3 linked regions of the Rattus norvegicus genome follow. The protein of the gene in region 2 interacts with the protein of the main gene of each other region in a biochemical or structural test. Links are inferred from orthologs where the notes say so. Each region holds a gene or a part of one and is shown on either strand. Other genes may lie near its edges.

Region 1 (5,414 bases), on a different chromosome or scaffold from region 2:
AAGCACCTATCGTACCAACCCCCCAAGCTGGGAGTGCCAAACAACCAGCTCAAGATGGAGTTCATGAAGGCCTGCGGGTGCAGAGAGCGAGACATCGAAGCCTCAAACAAATGACTGTGTGACTGGAGTTGGTCCAATACGTTGCAAGTGCGGGGGGGGGGGGGTACCAATGCAGTATCCAGTAGCACAAGTGGACTCTCACCACTGCAGGAGAAGCCATCCCGGTGTAGCTCATAGCCCTGGTTACAGCGACACAGGAAGGTCCCATAGGAGTTGAAGCAGCGCTGCTCACACGGGGCTCCCATGTCACACTCGTTCACATCTGAGGGTGCAAGGACAAACACCCACTCGACTTGGGCTCAGGAAGGAGATCCTGCCCCTACCTCACCCATCTCTACCCAGGATCCCAGAACCTGGTCTGGCACAGCCTCACCCACACAAGAGCGGTTGTTAGGTCCCAACTGGAAGCCGGGCTCACACTGGCATCGGAAAGAGCCTGGCAGGTTCACGCATCGGTGCTGGCAGTAGCGGTAGCGACACTCATCTATGTCTGAGATGGGAGGCAGGAGACGGAAAGTAGAACACAAGCTAGGTGGGGCCTGAGCCAGCTCACCTCAGCACCCACGTTCACCCCTGCCTTTGTCGGGGAGCTGAGTTGAGTCGCCCACATGTCTAGTGGGTCTGGTGACAGGAGTGCACCAGCAGCAGAGGGCTGGGGTGACGTAAGGTATTAGATCAAGAAGCAGACCAAGGTCACAGAGCAGGAACTTAGGAAAGCCACCGAACTCACCTACACATTCGGGCCCAATTTTTCGGTAACCATCGGGGCAGGTGCACTGATAGGAGCCAGGAAGGTTATGGCAGTCCTGGCTAGGGCGACAGTCATGTATAGCCTGGGTACACTCATCCACATCTGTGGGAGACACCATTCAGCCTTTGCCTGGAGTCCCCCATATGCTAAGGACCGTGTGAGGAGGGGGCCCATGCACATGGGTAGTTGGCATCAAATCATGAACATTTAATTGAGATCATCCCAATAGTCCAAAAAAGAGTCCACCAAGGAATTACCAGGAAAAGTACCCATTAGGAGAACATACTAAAATAGGGTCTTGTGGGAACTGGTGGCACACACCTTCAATTCCACCACTGCGGGGGAAGAGAGGCAAGAGGACCTCTGTGAGTGCCAAGCTAGTTGTAGCTAGGGCTACAGAGTGAGACACTGTCTTAAAAATAAATACATAAGTAAACAGACAAATAAAGCCCTGTCCATTTATACCCCGCAGCTGACTGCAGGGCCAGGATCTCTCCTCCTCCCAGACCTGACTCCAGATCAAAAAGCTGGCAGAGGCTGGGAGCAGAGCTCTCACATGTCTGTCCAGGAACTGAGGCTGCTAGGGACATCCTGGGCCTGCAGACCATGCACTGAGCCTGCAGTAGATGAAAACTTGGATATTTCTCTGAGCAGCCAGACGGAAGGAGCATGAGGTCTGGGGTATTAAATAGGGAAAATTACTTTATTATTTTGTTAATTAATTGTTTTGAGGTAAGATCTCGGGCAGCCTCAGGTGGTCCTCAAAAGTTCTTACGCAGCTGAGGATAACCTGTACTTTCGGATCTTTTTGCTCTCTCCCCACTGGTGGGTTACAGGTGTGCGCTACCACACTTGTTTTTTGTGTTTTTTTTGTGGTGCCAGGAATCAAATCCAGAAACGATCTCAAAACCCAAAGTACATAGCTGGATGGTGGGGTACAGAGGCAGGTGGATCTCTGAGTCTGAGTTCTAGGATGGCCAAGGCTACACAGAGAAACCCTCTCTCAAAAATCAAAAACAAAGAAACAAACTAAGGAGGACTAAAATAACTCTACTGGAGGATTAAAAGAAACAAGAATGATATATGCCGAGATGGCACCATGATAAAACACATTACTTTGAACAGTAAATACAAAGTTAGTGTTTTTTTCTATTCTTTTTTTTTTTTTTTTTTTTTTTTGGAAGCTGGGGATCGAACCCAGGGCCTTGAGCTTGCTAGGCAAGCGCTCTACACTGAGCCAAATCCCCAACCCCCAAAGTTAGTTTTTTTTAAAAAAAGTTTATAAAAGGCCTGGAAGCCTAGGTGCCAGCATGGCCCCCACTTACCCACACAGCTCTCCTGTTCATCAGGTTCATAGCCCGGAGGGCAAGGATTTGGGTGTTGAGCAGAGGCTGCTGGTGGTGGAGGTCCTTCACTGTGGAGATCACTGATGACGGCAGCAGAGCGAGGCAGACACAAATAGCCCCCGTAGTGGTTGATGCATTTCATTTCACCCTTGCAAGCCTCGGGGATGGTCAGGCACTCATTGACATCTGCAGAGAGGGGCCTGCTGGGCACAGCCAGTCACCTGGGCTGGCCCTGGAGGTAGTGGGAGGCAGAAGCCCAACTTGGCCTTCTCTAAACTGAGCAACACAGCAAGGCTTTCTCTCTGCTCAGCAAAGGCTGCCGACCCAGAACCCCTCCCAGGCATTTGCAGGACTGGGTGTGTGGCCCCCTATTTCACACTGTTACCCCCATTCTCCTGCCTCCATGTGAGTTTCCGTTTCTCTTCAAATCCCTGCCTCTACCTTTGCCCAAGAGTAATTTGCAGGCCTCCTGACCCACAGAGCTTGTACTGCCCTCCCAGGGTGCACTGGGATAGAGCTGGGCTGGGAGAGTGCAGTGCAGTTCAGGGAAGGTGTACGTATTTCCTTCTTTCTGGGCAATAGCCAGGTGCTCTCTTGCCTCCTGCAGGACAGAGGCAGAGTTTGTTCACCCTCTTGAAGGGGTAGGGCTCCTAATTGAGTGGCACAAGAGAAGCATGGCTGCCTACCAGATGGCTGGCTACCAGGGTGGACAGTGGGAAGGCCATCAAGTTCCTGCTGCAGCTCTGGGAGATAAGGTGTCCCTGGGAAACAGAAGTAATCCCCTTCCCAGTTCCTGAAGATGGCTAGTACCCCAGACATACTCACCCCGGCAATGCTGGCTGTCTGCATCCCACTCATAGCCATCTGTGCATTCCTGGAAGGGAACCCGATGTGGCCAGTGACCACCCTGGCTGTCTCCTCCAACTAGCCAGGCCAAGACCAGGGCTTGAGCTCAGTCATGCTCAGGTCAGCTCCACACAATGGCCTCCAGCTTTCCACCAACCAAGCAGGGGAGAATCATTCCCAGAAGCAGCCTCCCCAGGATCCTGCCTCACTCGCTGTCCTTCCCATCCCATCCCAAGCTGGTGACCCCAAGGTCCCCACCGTGTAGCTGTCCGGCTCTTCGGAATCCTGTGGGGACGCTGCTCCCAAGAGCAACAGCAGAAACGCCCAGAGCAGTAAAGACCCGGGGAGGCAGGAGGCAAATGGGAGCATCCTGGGGCTGAGAGGGGGTGGGCAGAAGTCAGGGGTTTCTGCCACGACACCCCCCATTCCCTCCATCTGGAAGGGGAGGCTGGGTCCCAGCTATCTCGTCCCAGGACTGTTCTGGGAGCACCGAAACCTTCCAGGGCTGGGGACCGAGTCCCTTCGCAGGCCTGGGGCTCAGGGCCGCAATCTTGGACCGCCCCGCCCCCGCCCCACGAGTCATGAAGCGCAGGCCTCTCCGCTCCGCGCAGCATATACTCGGCCGCAACACGGCCCGCGCCCTCCCTCCGCTGGAGGCCACTCACGCGTTGACTCCAGCAGTGCCTGCGGGCGGACGGACGGACCGCGCAGCTCACTGGACGCGCGGCCCCAGGAAGCGCCCCCCGCCCGCCCGCCGCGGCCCACCCCGGCGCCTCCGCCCGCCCTTCGGCGGATTCCTGAGCCCGCGCCAGGGGGAGGGACCCCGACCCCCCGGCTTCTCCGCCCCGGCCGGCCACAGGCCCCCACCCGGTCCCCCGCGGCGCTGCCTGGAGTCGCCTGTGGACGCCTAGTCAGTTTCCCAATGTTTGGGTCCTTAGACCATTGACCTTGATGCTTGGCACCCAAACTCACCTGGGGACCCCAGGCCCTCACTCAAAATGATTATTCTGTCCACCTAAACCCTATCTAACCTGTGCCTCCGGAATCCCTCTGTGCACTCGCACCTCCGTGTAACCGGATTCTGCGCTTCCCAGAACCTAACAAACATTTATTTAATCCTCAGATCTCCAAATGCTACCACTTTCAGGATTTTATCCAGTGTTACACTCTTAGATGGTCCTAAAACTTCATCCAAGGTTTCCTGATCCTCGTCCAGGCATACAATTAATTGTCCAATTCCCTCTGTATCCACCTCCACCACCCCCAGGTGGTCTCTTTACTCAGGGCACTGCTTCCCCAAGCCCTGCCTGCGCAACGCTACAATAGTATGGGGGCGAGGGCAGCAGTAGTCTTGGCCCGAAATGAATGGAAGCCCCTGAGAAGGCGGGCAAGCTTGAACTTGGTCGCGGAGGACACTAGGGCCCAGTGCCAGCCCTTTCCCGACCCTCTTCCCATCCAAGTCCCCCACCCAGTTTCCGCCTCCGCCCCCAGCGGAGATCATGCCTTGGAGGCGGAGTCTGGGTGCCTCTGGCGCCCAGGAAGGGGTAAATGGGCGGGACTTCGCGTTGCCCACGTCTCAGGGCGGGTCTAGACGGGAAAGGGTTGCGTGTCCAGGGCTCCCGTGCTTGGCCCAGACCGCTAGCGGCAATAACCCGGCCTTCCTTCCTTCCTTTCCCTTTCCCAACCTCTTTCCATCTTTTTTTGTTTGTTTTTGTTTTGTCTTTTTGCGACAGAGTCTCAAACTGTAGCTCTGACTGTTCTGAAACTCACTAAGTAGATGAGGCTTCGAACTCACAAAGATCTGCCTGTCTCTGCCTCCTAGGTTCTGGGATGAAAGGCGTGCACTACCATGTTCCGCTCTGCTGTGACGGAAATAAAAATTCTGCTTCATTTCATTTAATTGTCTGAGTGGTAATGTGTGTGGTATGTGCGTGTGTGCCTATGTACTAATGGAGACTATCGCTCTCCACCCTAAGACAGTGTTTGTCAAAAAAAAAAAAAAAAAAAAAAAAAAAAAGACAGGGTTTGTCACTGAGTCTGGAACTTACTATTTTAGATAGATTGGTTGGCTGGCTAGTGTGCTCTCAGTCCCCACCTCCCTGACCCTCTAGGGGTTACAGACATGCATCACCACTACAGCTGGTCTTTATGGTAGAGCTGGGGATCAGAACCCAGACCCTCATGCTGTGTAGCAAGCATTTTACCCAGTAAGCCATCTCCTCAACTTCCATTATCTTGATTAGAAAATTTGTATTGGGGTTGGGGATTTAGCTCAGTGGTAGAGCGCTTTAGCAAGCGCAAAGCCCTGGGTTCAGTCCTCAGCTCTGGAAAAAAAAATTTTTTTTATTAACTTTTAAAGATGCATATGTGTGTGCATCTGTGTAGAGGTATGTACACCCGAGTGCAGGTGT
Region 2 (5,401 bases):
GGCAAAATTCTGTATCAAGGAAGGTATGGGGTCATGTGAGGACTCCATCAAACTTGAGCCCAAAGCCAGGCTCCTTGCCCTGGACTCGCTGCCATGTGATTTAACTTAGCTGAGAGAAGCACCCAGCCTCCTCAGCGTCAAGCAGGATTCTTCAGTGGCAGAAGACAGAAGCTGACAATGTTAATCCACAAAAGAATGCACTAGGAAAGTCTGGAGGAAAAGCTAAAGACCCAAGACTTGTCTCTTTTTCTAGCAGTGGGAGGAGGAATAGTTTTGACCGTGTGACCACCTTAACATTCAGATCCTAGGAAGACAATTTAATTAGGGCAAACCCAGGTCTCACAGCCAGTTCTTGAAGTGAAGAAATCCCACAAATGCCCTTTCAGTCTGACCATACTAGTAGGGGTCTGAGGCGGTCCAGGCAGAATTTTAAAAAATATAAAAACAGAAAGAAAAGGGAAATGGATATAGGATATTGGTGGGAGGCAGTCAAACCAACAGATGTCCACCTCCCCACCTCATGGGATGATCATTTATGGAAAGACAGAGTCCCTGAGGTGAGTATTAAGTGTGTCTAGACCGCAGCTCAATGATGGAACCGAAAAAAAAAAAAGGATACTAAAATCTGGCGTTGCCTCGGAGTCTAATCAGACCACTTGGTAGCATTTTTTTCCTTTGAATTCAGTCCAGAACCTCCCAGACCCTGAGTAGGATGTGAGCAGCTGCTCTAGTAAGCATGGCAGTTGCAGATTACCCTCCTACTCAGCCTCCTGGCCACACCCACTGCTTTCTTTGTGCTAAACCCTGAATTCAAAGGCTTTTTCTCTTGCAACACCTCTGTTTAGATTGGAAGATGAATTAAAAGCGGCTGGAGGCTTTATTGAATTTCAATATTTAACATCAGTAATTTGATTTTAAAATGTGAAGTCAAACCTCCTTATTAGACACAAGAGAAAGCAAGAAGTCAGATTAAAAAAATCTACTTGAAGGGGCCTCTAAGCACTGCCTTGCCCTGCTAGCTCTCTGGTACACAGTAGGGATGAAAGAATTCTTGTCACTTAAAGTGCAAATTGGACTGATTCTTTTAAGACAAAATAAAGGAGGTGGGGGGGGGAGTCGGCTTTACTCACTTTTTCAACGTAGCAAGCTTTGTTCCCTGTAAATTTTCACTTTGGTTATTAAAATATTCACTGTAGGAAACAGATTTGTAACCCATTTCTCATATTACCTACAGCCAGAAAAACAAAATTTGATATCCTGGGGTTTATTCGCTGAGGGCGCTTCCCATAAAAGTGGGGTGAGTGTGCATTGGGAAATTTGTCTGGTTAACTCCTTTATGGATAAGCGTTAGTCACAACCTCCCCCATCCCAACGCACACATTTTGGCCCTCATCGCTCTCCCCACCTCCTGCTTCCCGCCTCTCCAGGGCTGGTGACCTAATAGCATTTTTCTTCATGCATATTTTGGCTTGGGCCCATGGCCTGGCTGCCTTCGTCTGTCTGAGTCTTTTGAAATTCCTGCATGTTCGGCCCAGATTAAGTCGAGTGTGTCTCAGGATGTGTGTTCCGTTTTGTTCTTTCCCCTTAACTCTCCCTGTGCAACGTGTCTGGGGAGGAGGGGAGGGGGCGGGGAGGGGAGGGAGGGGCAGAGTGGTGGAGCTGTCCGCCTTGCACGTTTCCAATCGCATTACGCGAACAAATAGCAGAGGGGCAGCGGGGCCAGAACGGCTTGTGTAACTGCAAACTTGTCAGAAAGTTTAAACTCTCTCCTCCTTCTACTTCAGACACTGTGCGCTCTCCCGGACCGTCGTGCGCCGCTCCCCGTCGCCTTCCAGGACTGGGAAAGGGGAGAGGAGGACGGTGCCACGTCCGACGGCCTCCTGGGCTGGGGGCAGGGTCTGCCGCTCGCCCTTGGCACCAGTCCCTGCGACCCATCCCCGAGCCTCGCCCTCCTCCTCCCTGCTCGAAGAGGTCTCCCTCCTTCGCGGGATCTGAGTCCCTGTCTTCATTTTTCTCCTAGCCACGTCCCTCCCCGAGAAGGGACGAGCCGGGAGCATCATGCGTTTCGCCTGGACCGTGCTCTTTCTGGGACAGCTGCAGTTCTGTCCCCTTCTCCGCTGCGCCCCGCAGGCCCCGCGCGAGCCTCCCGCCGCCCCCGGTGCCTGGCGCCAGACAATCCAATGGGAGAACAACGGGCAGGTGTTCAGTCTGTTGAGCCTGGGGGCGCAGTACCAGCCTCAGCGACGCCGCGACTCCAGCGCCACTGCCCCGAGAGCCGACGGCAACGCTGCAGCACAGCCACGCACGCCCATTCTGCTGCTGCGTGACAACCGCACTGCCTCTGCCCGTGCGAGGACTCCAAGCCCATCTGGGGTCGCCGCGGGTCGTCCCCGGCCCGCAGCCCGCCACTGGTTCCAAGTTGGTTTCTCGCCGTCGGGGGCCGGCGATGGAGCCTCAAGGCGCGCAGCGAACCGGACTGCGTCGCCACAGCCTCCGCAGCTCAGTAATCTGAGGCCACCCAGCCACGTAGATCGCATGGTGGGCGACGACCCCTACAATCCCTACAAGTACTCCGACGACAACCCCTATTATAACTACTATGACACTTATGAGAGACCCCGGTCCGGGAGCAGGCACCGACCTGGATATGGCACCGGTTACTTCCAGTACGGTAAGAACCCCTAGGTCCGCGGTAGGTACCCGCCACCCTGGCCACAGGTCAGTGCTGTCTAGACGTGGCGGTCTGGGCGCGGCGGCGGGATCCGGTCCCGCAGACTCAACACCACCACCCCCGCCCCCAATCCTGCCCCGCCAGCGCTGGAATTTGATGGAAACCGCGCTCCTGGCTCCAACAGCTTCCTTTTCCCTTTCCTTCCTAGCCCCAATTTTCCCTGCTCTTCCACATACTCAGCCCCACCCTGCAGACTTGAAGGGCGAAAGGTGACAAAAAGGGTCTAGGAGTCAGAGGTCATCAGCTTGTCTTATCCTTAGGTCTCCCGGACCTGGTACCCGATCCCTACTACATCCAGGCATCCACGTACGTACAAAAGATGTCTATGTACAACCTGAGATGCGCTGCGGAAGAAAACTGCCTGGCCAGGTATGTGTTTCCACAGCCCGGTTCCAGGTTTTGATCCTGGGATCACTCTGGTGCCTAGTTTGTTCTGCTATTCAGCGCAGACAAGGACTAGGAAGTGGGACAAGGGCTGGGAAGTGGGACGTGACCTCCTGGGCATGCTGACTTGGAGAGCGAGTTAATTTGGAATGTTTTTATGGGTACCGCCTCAGTGAGAGTCACAAATAGGGGGAGGGGGAAGAAAACCCTTATTCTGGAGACTGGGTCTCAGGGTCTTTCCCAAGATACCTATTAGGCATTAGCGCCAACTACCTCCAATAACTTTATATAAAACAGAAATTCAACAACACAGTGTGTGTGTCGGGAGTGGGGATCGGGTTTGGGGGGGGTTGGAGGAAGCACTTATTATTCTCTAATGCTCTAGAAGTGTATTCGACACGGTGCCCCCCGCCTCGATTGGTTAAAAAAACATTCCACACTTCTTTCAGGCCGTGATTAACTGGGTTGTTTTGGTATAAGACCACAGGCAATAGTTTTGTTTTCCGTCAATCCTAAAATAAAATATCTATTCTGGTCTTGGAATTCTCTGATTCTGCGGCTGGCCACCAGCAGGGGGAGCACAAGCTATTTGCATGGTTCTGGTAGTTGGCTAAGTAAAATGGGTCACTAACAGAGCTATAAAAATATAGTAATGGTACAGGGGTGTTTATACGAACCTTCCATGTTGATTTTTTTACTACCGTCGGGCCAAGGAGAGAAATTCAAGCTCTTTTGCGTTCCTTATGGCACGATACACACCACTGAATGCCGAAAAGATACTAAGGAGCACCCTCAGTTTGGTAGTTGTCCAGTATAAAGTTATCCACCTAAAGCTAGGTGTCTTGTTTTAGAATATTTCTCCACTTTATATCATAGACACATCAAGTAATTAATAGACACCTATGGATCTTTTTTGCATGGGGTCATTACTATAGCCATTTTACAGTTTTTAGATGCAGAGTCTCTGCTCTACAATCTTTTTAGGATAAATCTTAGTCTCAGTCTATCTGGGCTTTTACTGTTATCCTTCATTCACTCATGCACCAGATAGTTGCGATGTGTTTATTCTTCCAGGACTGGAGCTCAGGATCTGCTCCTTGACTTAAGAGGCTAGTTGGGGAAGGGGAATGCCAGGAACACGTGACAGCGAGCTGTTCTTCCTATTTTGTGTTGCATCCATGTTCAGTGGATCTAATGGCTCTTCTCTAAACTCACAGTTCAGCATATAGGGCGGATGTCAGAGACTATGACCACAGGGTACTGCTACGATTTCCTCAGAGAGTGAAAAACCAAGGGACGTCTGACTTCTTACCAAGCCGCCCCCGCTACTCCTGGGAGTGGCACAGCTGCCACCAGTAAGTGGATGGGCACCTCAGTACTTCTGGGATGCTCTTAAATTTTCCAGATGATTAGTCATACCTGAAGCTAAGAATGTTAAACCCTAAGATAGCCCCATTCACCACTAAATTCCATCCCCATTGTCTTTTCAGTCGGAAACTGTAAGTCACGCTCAATAGTTAAAACTATTGAAAGGACAGAGAATGGCTGCCAATAGAATTTACTCTTATGTTAAAGTATCCACTATAGGCAAGATCATCTGCAGTTGGTTAGCCTTAAAAGGCATTTAATAAAAGCATGGCATCTTTTACCTAAAGAATTTATAGACCATGTCCAATGAAAGATAGATTTCAGGACCCAATTCACATCTATCTTTTGAAAAGCCCGCATCAGCCCCAGAGTGGCTGCCCTACCCTTTCTAAATGTAATGGTTTTAATTTTTAAATTACATGTGGTTATGCCATCACTTGCCTAGGTAATGTACTCAAGTAGTCAATACCAGGAAATCATGATGTGCGGTCTCCCACTTACAGAAATTCAAACCCATTCTCCTTGTAGCTCCTCCCTCACACAAGAAGAACAAGAGCTCAGAGCCTTCTATTTAAGGAATAGAGAAAAGTGGACTTTAGCCACATAATTTACATATGAAAATAGAAATATTTTATTTCAAAATAAAAGTTTGTGCTACTTAAACAATAGAGATAGAAGAGCATGCTGTTGCTCCCCCTTGGTGTTTCCAAAGAGACTTAACAAATGTTGCAACTCTAGTTTTTTGAATCTCATAGCAAGCCCTCCAGAGTATGGTATTTGTTTGAAATCATCATCACATCACCAATACCAGCAGTGGCAGACAGAGAAATATACTAGAAACTGCACAGGTTATAAGCACAGAGAATCAATTGTCTACATTTAATGTTCAAATGTGAACCCTGTATAAAGGAACAGATA
Region 3 (5,650 bases), on a different chromosome or scaffold from region 2:
GCCATGTTCAGTGGCTCACAGCTGTGATCCCAGCATTCAGGAAGTTCAAGGTCTCTCTCAGCTACTTAGTGATTTCGAGACCATCTAGGGCTATATGAAACCCTGTGTCAACAAGACAAAACAAACACACAAACAAAATACAAAAAGAAAGAAAAAGAAAAAAATCTACCTTAGGGATTGGGCATACAGCTCAGAGGTAGAAGGGTTGCCTAGAGCACCAAGGCCATGGGTTCAGTCCCCAGCACCACAAGTAAACAATAATAAATAATGAAAAAAACCTCAGACAAATCAAAGACAGGAACAAATTACAAAGACTATCAGCCCCTTACCACACTGTAAGAGAAAATTTACAATTTCCCCATCTCCTGGTCATCTCAGTGGATATATTTTTATATTATATTATCATATTATCATCTCAGCAGCAGCTATCAAGTGGCTACTGTTCCCCTTGCCCCCAAAGCCCGCTGATTCTTAGGGGCTGGGCCCTAAAATGTAGGAATATTTCTTCTTTTTTTTTTTCAGCCAGGGAAACCAGAGTCAGCCGGATGAGGCGCCTTAGCCTGGTATCTACATTTGACCTTGGATTTGCTGCCAGGAGGTTCAAAGACCACAGGGAGCGGGGCCAACGGGCCCTGGCAGGGGGCTCTGCCAAGCCAGAGCTCAGAGGGGCAGCCTGGATTGAGCAGATAAAACCTCACCGAGCTGTTTGTTGCGTGCACAGAGCAGACCGCCAGGCGCTTTTCAAAAGCCACCGCGCTCCTGTGTGTGGGTGAACTGTCCCTTGCTCCAGCAAGACACACAGAGCAGGATCAAGGGACTAAATCCTTGGCTGTGCATCAGAGGCACCTGGGGAGCTGTTAGAGCCCAACTCCCTCAATCGAGATCCTCCACAGATCAAATAAAGGAAAACCTCGTGGGTCACACACTGACCCGGGCAACCGTCATGCCCATCAGGGTGGAAATCTCCTGAGATAAACCTTCAGGGAATGAACCAGGGGAGGGATATTGAAAACATTTCTGGTGTCAGGGAGAGCACTGAACTTTTATGTCTAATGTGCCCCTCCCTTAACGCTATTTTCGAAGAAGGGGGTTCATGTAGCCCAGGCTAGCCTATAATTCACTACATAGATGATACCTTAAACTCCTGATCCTCCTGTCTCTACACCTCCAAAATGCTAAGATAGGCAAAAGACAGGCATGCTGTCATGCCTGATTTTTTTTTCTTCTGGTGACCTTTTACTTTATTTTGGTTTGAGGGTGGGTGGGTGGGTGGGCATAGAGTCCCATTACATAGCAGAGGCTGCCTTGGAACTCACTCTGTAGCATAATTCCTGAGCCGTCATGCCTACCTAGCTCATATAACCCTTTTAACATAGGGGCTGAAGCAAGCCCGAATTCAAAGGAAATGCTATTATTACCCTCATCAGAGTCAAGAAACGGTTACCTGTGACATGTTCCTCTTGGGGAAGACTAGGCTCCCCTAGGACCAGATAGGTGGGGGACTAGGTATACATGACCAGTGGCCAACTCCTCCCAAAACTCTGACCTCTTTGACTTCAGCAGACTCTGAACAGATCTTGAAAGACATCAATTCGCTTGCCTCCTACTTGAACCCGGTGACTCTGGCCACCTGGGACAGAGCTGAGATTTCTCTTCACAGGGAATGATGGCAGTTGAATATGGAGTGATATCACCCAGGCTACACGGGGAGGGGTTGTTCCATCTTTTAAGAAAGACTCCGCCCCAGGGCTGTCTCTCCCCAATATTCCCTGGCATCTCCCCTACTCCATTTTTTTTTTTTTTTGGACCCAGGGTAGAAAGCCAGCTGATATCAACCTCCACGGATGGCCTTAGCCTATCTCAGGCTCTATTTCTGTACCTTTTAAGAAAGGGGCTCGTGAAGCCCAGGCTAGCCTCGGAACTCCCTATACAGCTAAGCATGACCTCAAATTCCTGACTTCTTTGCTCCCATCTCCTGAGAGCCGGGACCACAGGTGTGAGCCACTGCCTCTGGTTTATGTGGTGCTAGGGATGGAATACGGAACTCCGAGCACGCTAGAGGAGTACTGTATTAGCCAAGCCAAATCTTCTTGTAGATCTCACTCTATAGCTTAGGCTGCCCCTCCAACTTGATAGCATGGTCCATCAGGTGTGGCTTTTCATGCCTGGCTTCAGCCTATTTGTAAAGACGAACAGTTTCTTTATGTTGAAGGAGTGTAACCATCTGGGGAGGAGGGTGCACAGATGTCAGGAGACACATCTGGGGCGGGAGGGTCAGGTGACACTGCTCTTAACTACTGGCTTGCGGCCACTGCAGGGTCCTTCTGCTGCTACCCACAACCCTCAGTCTTGTCTGAGCCCAGGAACTCTTGTCCTACAGTGGGCTTCGAGCCCCAGCAGAGGCTCTTCCCTCCCATTCAGCCTCGGACCACAGCCCTGTCCCGCCGCCCGCCCTGCAGCTCCAGTCCCCAGTTCAAGTTCAGGTTCCCACGACAATGAGGTCTCTTACGGAAACCAGACCCCAGCAGATGGTTCACAGGCTCACACATCTTTCCCCACAGCCGGATGCACCTTCCGTCTGGGAGCAGTCTCCTTCCTCCCCCATAACCTAATGTGCCTGGTCAGGACACATATCAGATGGCCAAAACGATAACTTGAGGCTCAGTGTAGCCTCTGATACCCGCCATGCCCTGTTTGTCAGGAGATGGGCACTTTCCCCAGCTCACTCCCTGGCCTGTATTCCACCTTGGCAATCCCTCGTACAGGCATGGACTCGCACATGCTCACACACACCTGGGCACCAACACACACAGTGACATCCTACACCTGGGCCCCAGATTTCTTCAGGATTTTTTTTTTTTTTGAGATAGCCTGATGTAGCCCAAATGGCCTCGAACTCACTACGCAGCCAACGATGCCTTGAATTCCTGATCATCCGATGACCATTACACAGGTATGCGTCACCACGCCCACCTAGTTTGCTCAGAGGCTCAAGAATGTTTAGCATGCCCTCCATCAACGGAGACATCCTCCCTCAACTCTCTTAGTTGTTCTTGAGATGGGGTCTGGTTGGCTTTAAACTTACATGCTGGGGCTCACAGGTGTGATCCCATCAGACAACTTCACAGTTGCCTCCCTCCACCACCATCTGTCTAGGAATGGACTTGTGAACAGACCTTCAAACCTTTCCAGACACTCTTCTTTCAGGAACATCCTTGGCCAGAAGCTCACATTGACACCTTGCAACATGATCTGAAACACACACACACACACACACACACACACACACACACACACACACACGGAATCCCACCATCTCCAAGCAAAGACAAACCAAGATTGTCTCTCCACAGGCTGGTAGGTACACAGGTGTGCACAGGTGTGCAAACTGCCACCACCACTGGGAAAGCACTCAGGTGACTCAGACGACCAGCCTGACTGGCGGAGTGTAGCTTTGACAGGACCCCTAACACGGAGCTGGCTCCCAAGAGGAGACAGTTCCCAGGACCCTCCCTGCCTTGAAGAGGGCGGCGGGTGGGGGGAATCTGGAGGCGAAGGGCTCATCGATCTCTGGGATTCCCCATCAGTCTTGCCACCTGGTCGGCAGGGTCCCGAAGGTTGTGGATAGCGTGGGACCAGCGAGGGGCAGCATGGGACCGGCGAGGGGCCCCTTACCTCCAGGCTGCGCGGGATGGAGGAGGTTGAGCAAGAGGATCAGCAAGACGCCAGGCTGCGGGACTGCCGCTGTCAGACCCGCCATCTCGGGGAGGACTGCCCCAGCCTGCTCTCTGCGCCTCGTTTTATCCCCAAAGCGTAATTGCTGCCTGGTAGGCTGCTGTGAGGGAAGGAGGGAGGGAGAGAGGGCGGGTGGGAGGAGGGCGGGAGGAGGGGGAGCTGGGGGAGGGGGCCGCGAGGGAGGGGGCAATTACGAAAGGCCAGGCTCGCAAGCCTCCTAGCCTGAATCTGCCTGGACCATGGGTCTATTTTCCTGCACCCCCCCCCCCCACACACACACTGACGGGCGCGCGTGCACTGCTTTCCCCCCCCATTGCTTTCCCGCTTTCCCTCTGTAGCTGTTTGCTTGCTCCTGGCCCTGTTCCCGCCAGAAAGTGCGAGGGGGCCTTTGCCAGGACAGCCCTCTGGAGAGGAAGCAGGAGGGAGGGCCCAGGCAGTCCAGCCAAAAAATCCCAGCCCTAGCCAAGGCTGGAGTAGCCAGGTCCCCGCCCCTCAGCCTGGGCCCCAGGCCCAGTGTGGGGACACAGGCCAGCTGTCCCGCGCCTCAGCTCCCACCCTGGCCTGCAGACACCCCGACACCCCCAAGCCTGGCTAGAGACAGACTAACCAAAACTGGGTTGGGTAGGTTGATGGAGCTAAGGGAGCCTGCCTATAGAGTTCAAGATCTGCAGGCAAAATTGTCTGGGAGAAAAAAATCGGATGGGCATAGCATCATGGGGCATTTTAGGGACAGACTAAGGACCTTGACATACGATCTAGTTCATTGCGGTTGAGACCAGGTCTTAGCCATCTGTTTGAAGCCAGGGAAAGGGTGTTGGATAAGTCTAGGGTCTATGGTTGCAGAGACCAAGGGGCTGAGGTCAAGCGAGTGGCTTGGGAGTGAAAGCCATGTATTTAGTGTCTCCCTAGGGCTCAAAGATGATCCTTGCATAAGGTGTTGGTTGATTCTGTACGGGCCAACGGGCACAGCTTTGCACCACCCCTGAGCAAACCACGGTGTCCAACGGAGGTCATACTGGGTCCTAGGTGCCTGGTAGGGAACACGGAGGTGGGATCCCTGTCTATTAACTCAGTATTCTAGTTCACCACCTGTCCAATGCTCTCACATCTGGAAACCGATTTTCCCGGCGGCTCTGGGAAGGCTTGAGGATGCTATTCCTCTGCTGGCCAGCAGGGGGCAGCCTTTGCTGAACCAGCAGAGACAGCCCTCCAGGAAAGCTTGCAATCAGTGCCCTGGCCACCCTGTCCCTGAGCATATGGGGACCCTGGGAGGCTCTAGGGAATGTGATAGGGTGGGAAGATTATGTCATTCTCAGACTCCTGCATGTATGCAAGAAATGTGGGGTACTGGAGGACAGGAGAGGGAGATGGTTGTTTGCTGTATACAGGTCATAGTTGGTTAGAGGAAAAAGTCGAGGCCATAGGTCCTGGAGCTTTTCTCCTGCAGGAGGTGATACAGAGGGGTGAGTTAAAGATGTCTTGTCCAGTACAGGGCGTAGAGGAGTCTATAAAGTTGACAGTGTTGGCCGGGTTGGGGATGGGGTGGGAGAGCAAAGGCTGGTGGCTTAGGTAGAGCCTGGCTAATTTTTGGATACCCTGTGTCTTTTCCTCCTCCTCTTCTTCCTCCTCCTCCTCATCCTCTTCTCATCCTCTTCCTCCTCCTCCTCCCCCTCTTCCTCCTCCTCTTCTTCCTTCTCCTCTTCCTCTTCCTCCTCCTCCTTGTTATCCTCCTTCTCCCCCTTCTCTCTCCTTCCCATCCTCTTTCATTTCCTCTCTCCTTCCATTTATTTCTTCCCTCATAATTCCTTCTATTCTTTCCTTTCTCCCCTTCCTGTCTTTCTCTTCATTCCTTCCCCCTTTTCTTCCTTCCTTTCCCCTTCTGTCTCCTTTCCCCTCCTTTCCTCTCTTTCTTTCT

The links. The genes of interacting proteins can lie anywhere in the genome.
Region 1: the proteins of Lox (region 2) and Efemp2 form a complex in vitro, tested with the Homo sapiens proteins (2 studies listed by IntAct, with this or other methods). The link is inferred for Rattus norvegicus from reciprocal best matches to the Homo sapiens genes LOX and EFEMP2.
Region 3: the proteins of Lox (region 2) and Eln form a complex in vitro, tested with the Homo sapiens proteins (2 studies listed by BioGRID and IntAct). The link is inferred for Rattus norvegicus from reciprocal best matches to the Homo sapiens genes LOX and ELN.

The regions. Positions count from the first base shown.
Region 1 is NC_086019.1:212,210,073-212,215,486, reverse strand, and holds the start of Efemp2 (EGF-containing fibulin-like extracellular matrix protein 2 isoform 1 precursor), read right to left. Parts: upstream 3,766-5,414; 5' UTR 3,669-3,765; exon of another isoform or gene 3,439-3,668; coding exon of another isoform or gene 3,373-3,438; coding exon 3,262-3,372; intron 3,032-3,261; coding exon 2,983-3,031; intron 2,344-2,982; coding exon 2,137-2,343; intron 914-2,136; coding exon 791-913; intron 551-790; coding exon 434-550; intron 323-433; coding exon 203-322; intron 1-202. UniProt on the Homo sapiens protein: Plays a crucial role in elastic fiber formation in tissue, and in the formation of ultrastructural connections between elastic laminae and smooth muscle cells in the aorta, therefore participates in terminal differentiation and maturation of smooth muscle cell (SMC) and in the mechanical properties and wall integrity maintenance of the aorta.
Region 2 is NC_086036.1:48,172,026-48,177,426, reverse strand, and holds the start of Lox (protein-lysine 6-oxidase precursor), read left to right. Parts: upstream 1-1,786; 5' UTR 1,787-2,058; coding exon 2,059-2,671; intron 2,672-2,991; coding exon 2,992-3,100; intron 3,101-4,332; coding exon 4,333-4,470; intron 4,471-5,401. UniProt on the Homo sapiens protein: Responsible for the post-translational oxidative deamination of peptidyl lysine residues in precursors to fibrous collagen and elastin. Regulator of Ras expression. May play a role in tumor suppression. Plays a role in the aortic wall architecture.
Region 3 is NC_086030.1:27,603,142-27,608,791, reverse strand, and holds the start of Eln (elastin precursor), read right to left. Parts: upstream 3,766-5,650; 5' UTR 3,761-3,765; coding exon 3,676-3,760; exon of another isoform or gene 3,608-3,675; intron 3,358-3,607; exon of another isoform or gene 376-3,357; intron 1-375. UniProt on the Homo sapiens protein: Major structural protein of tissues such as aorta and nuchal ligament, which must expand rapidly and recover completely.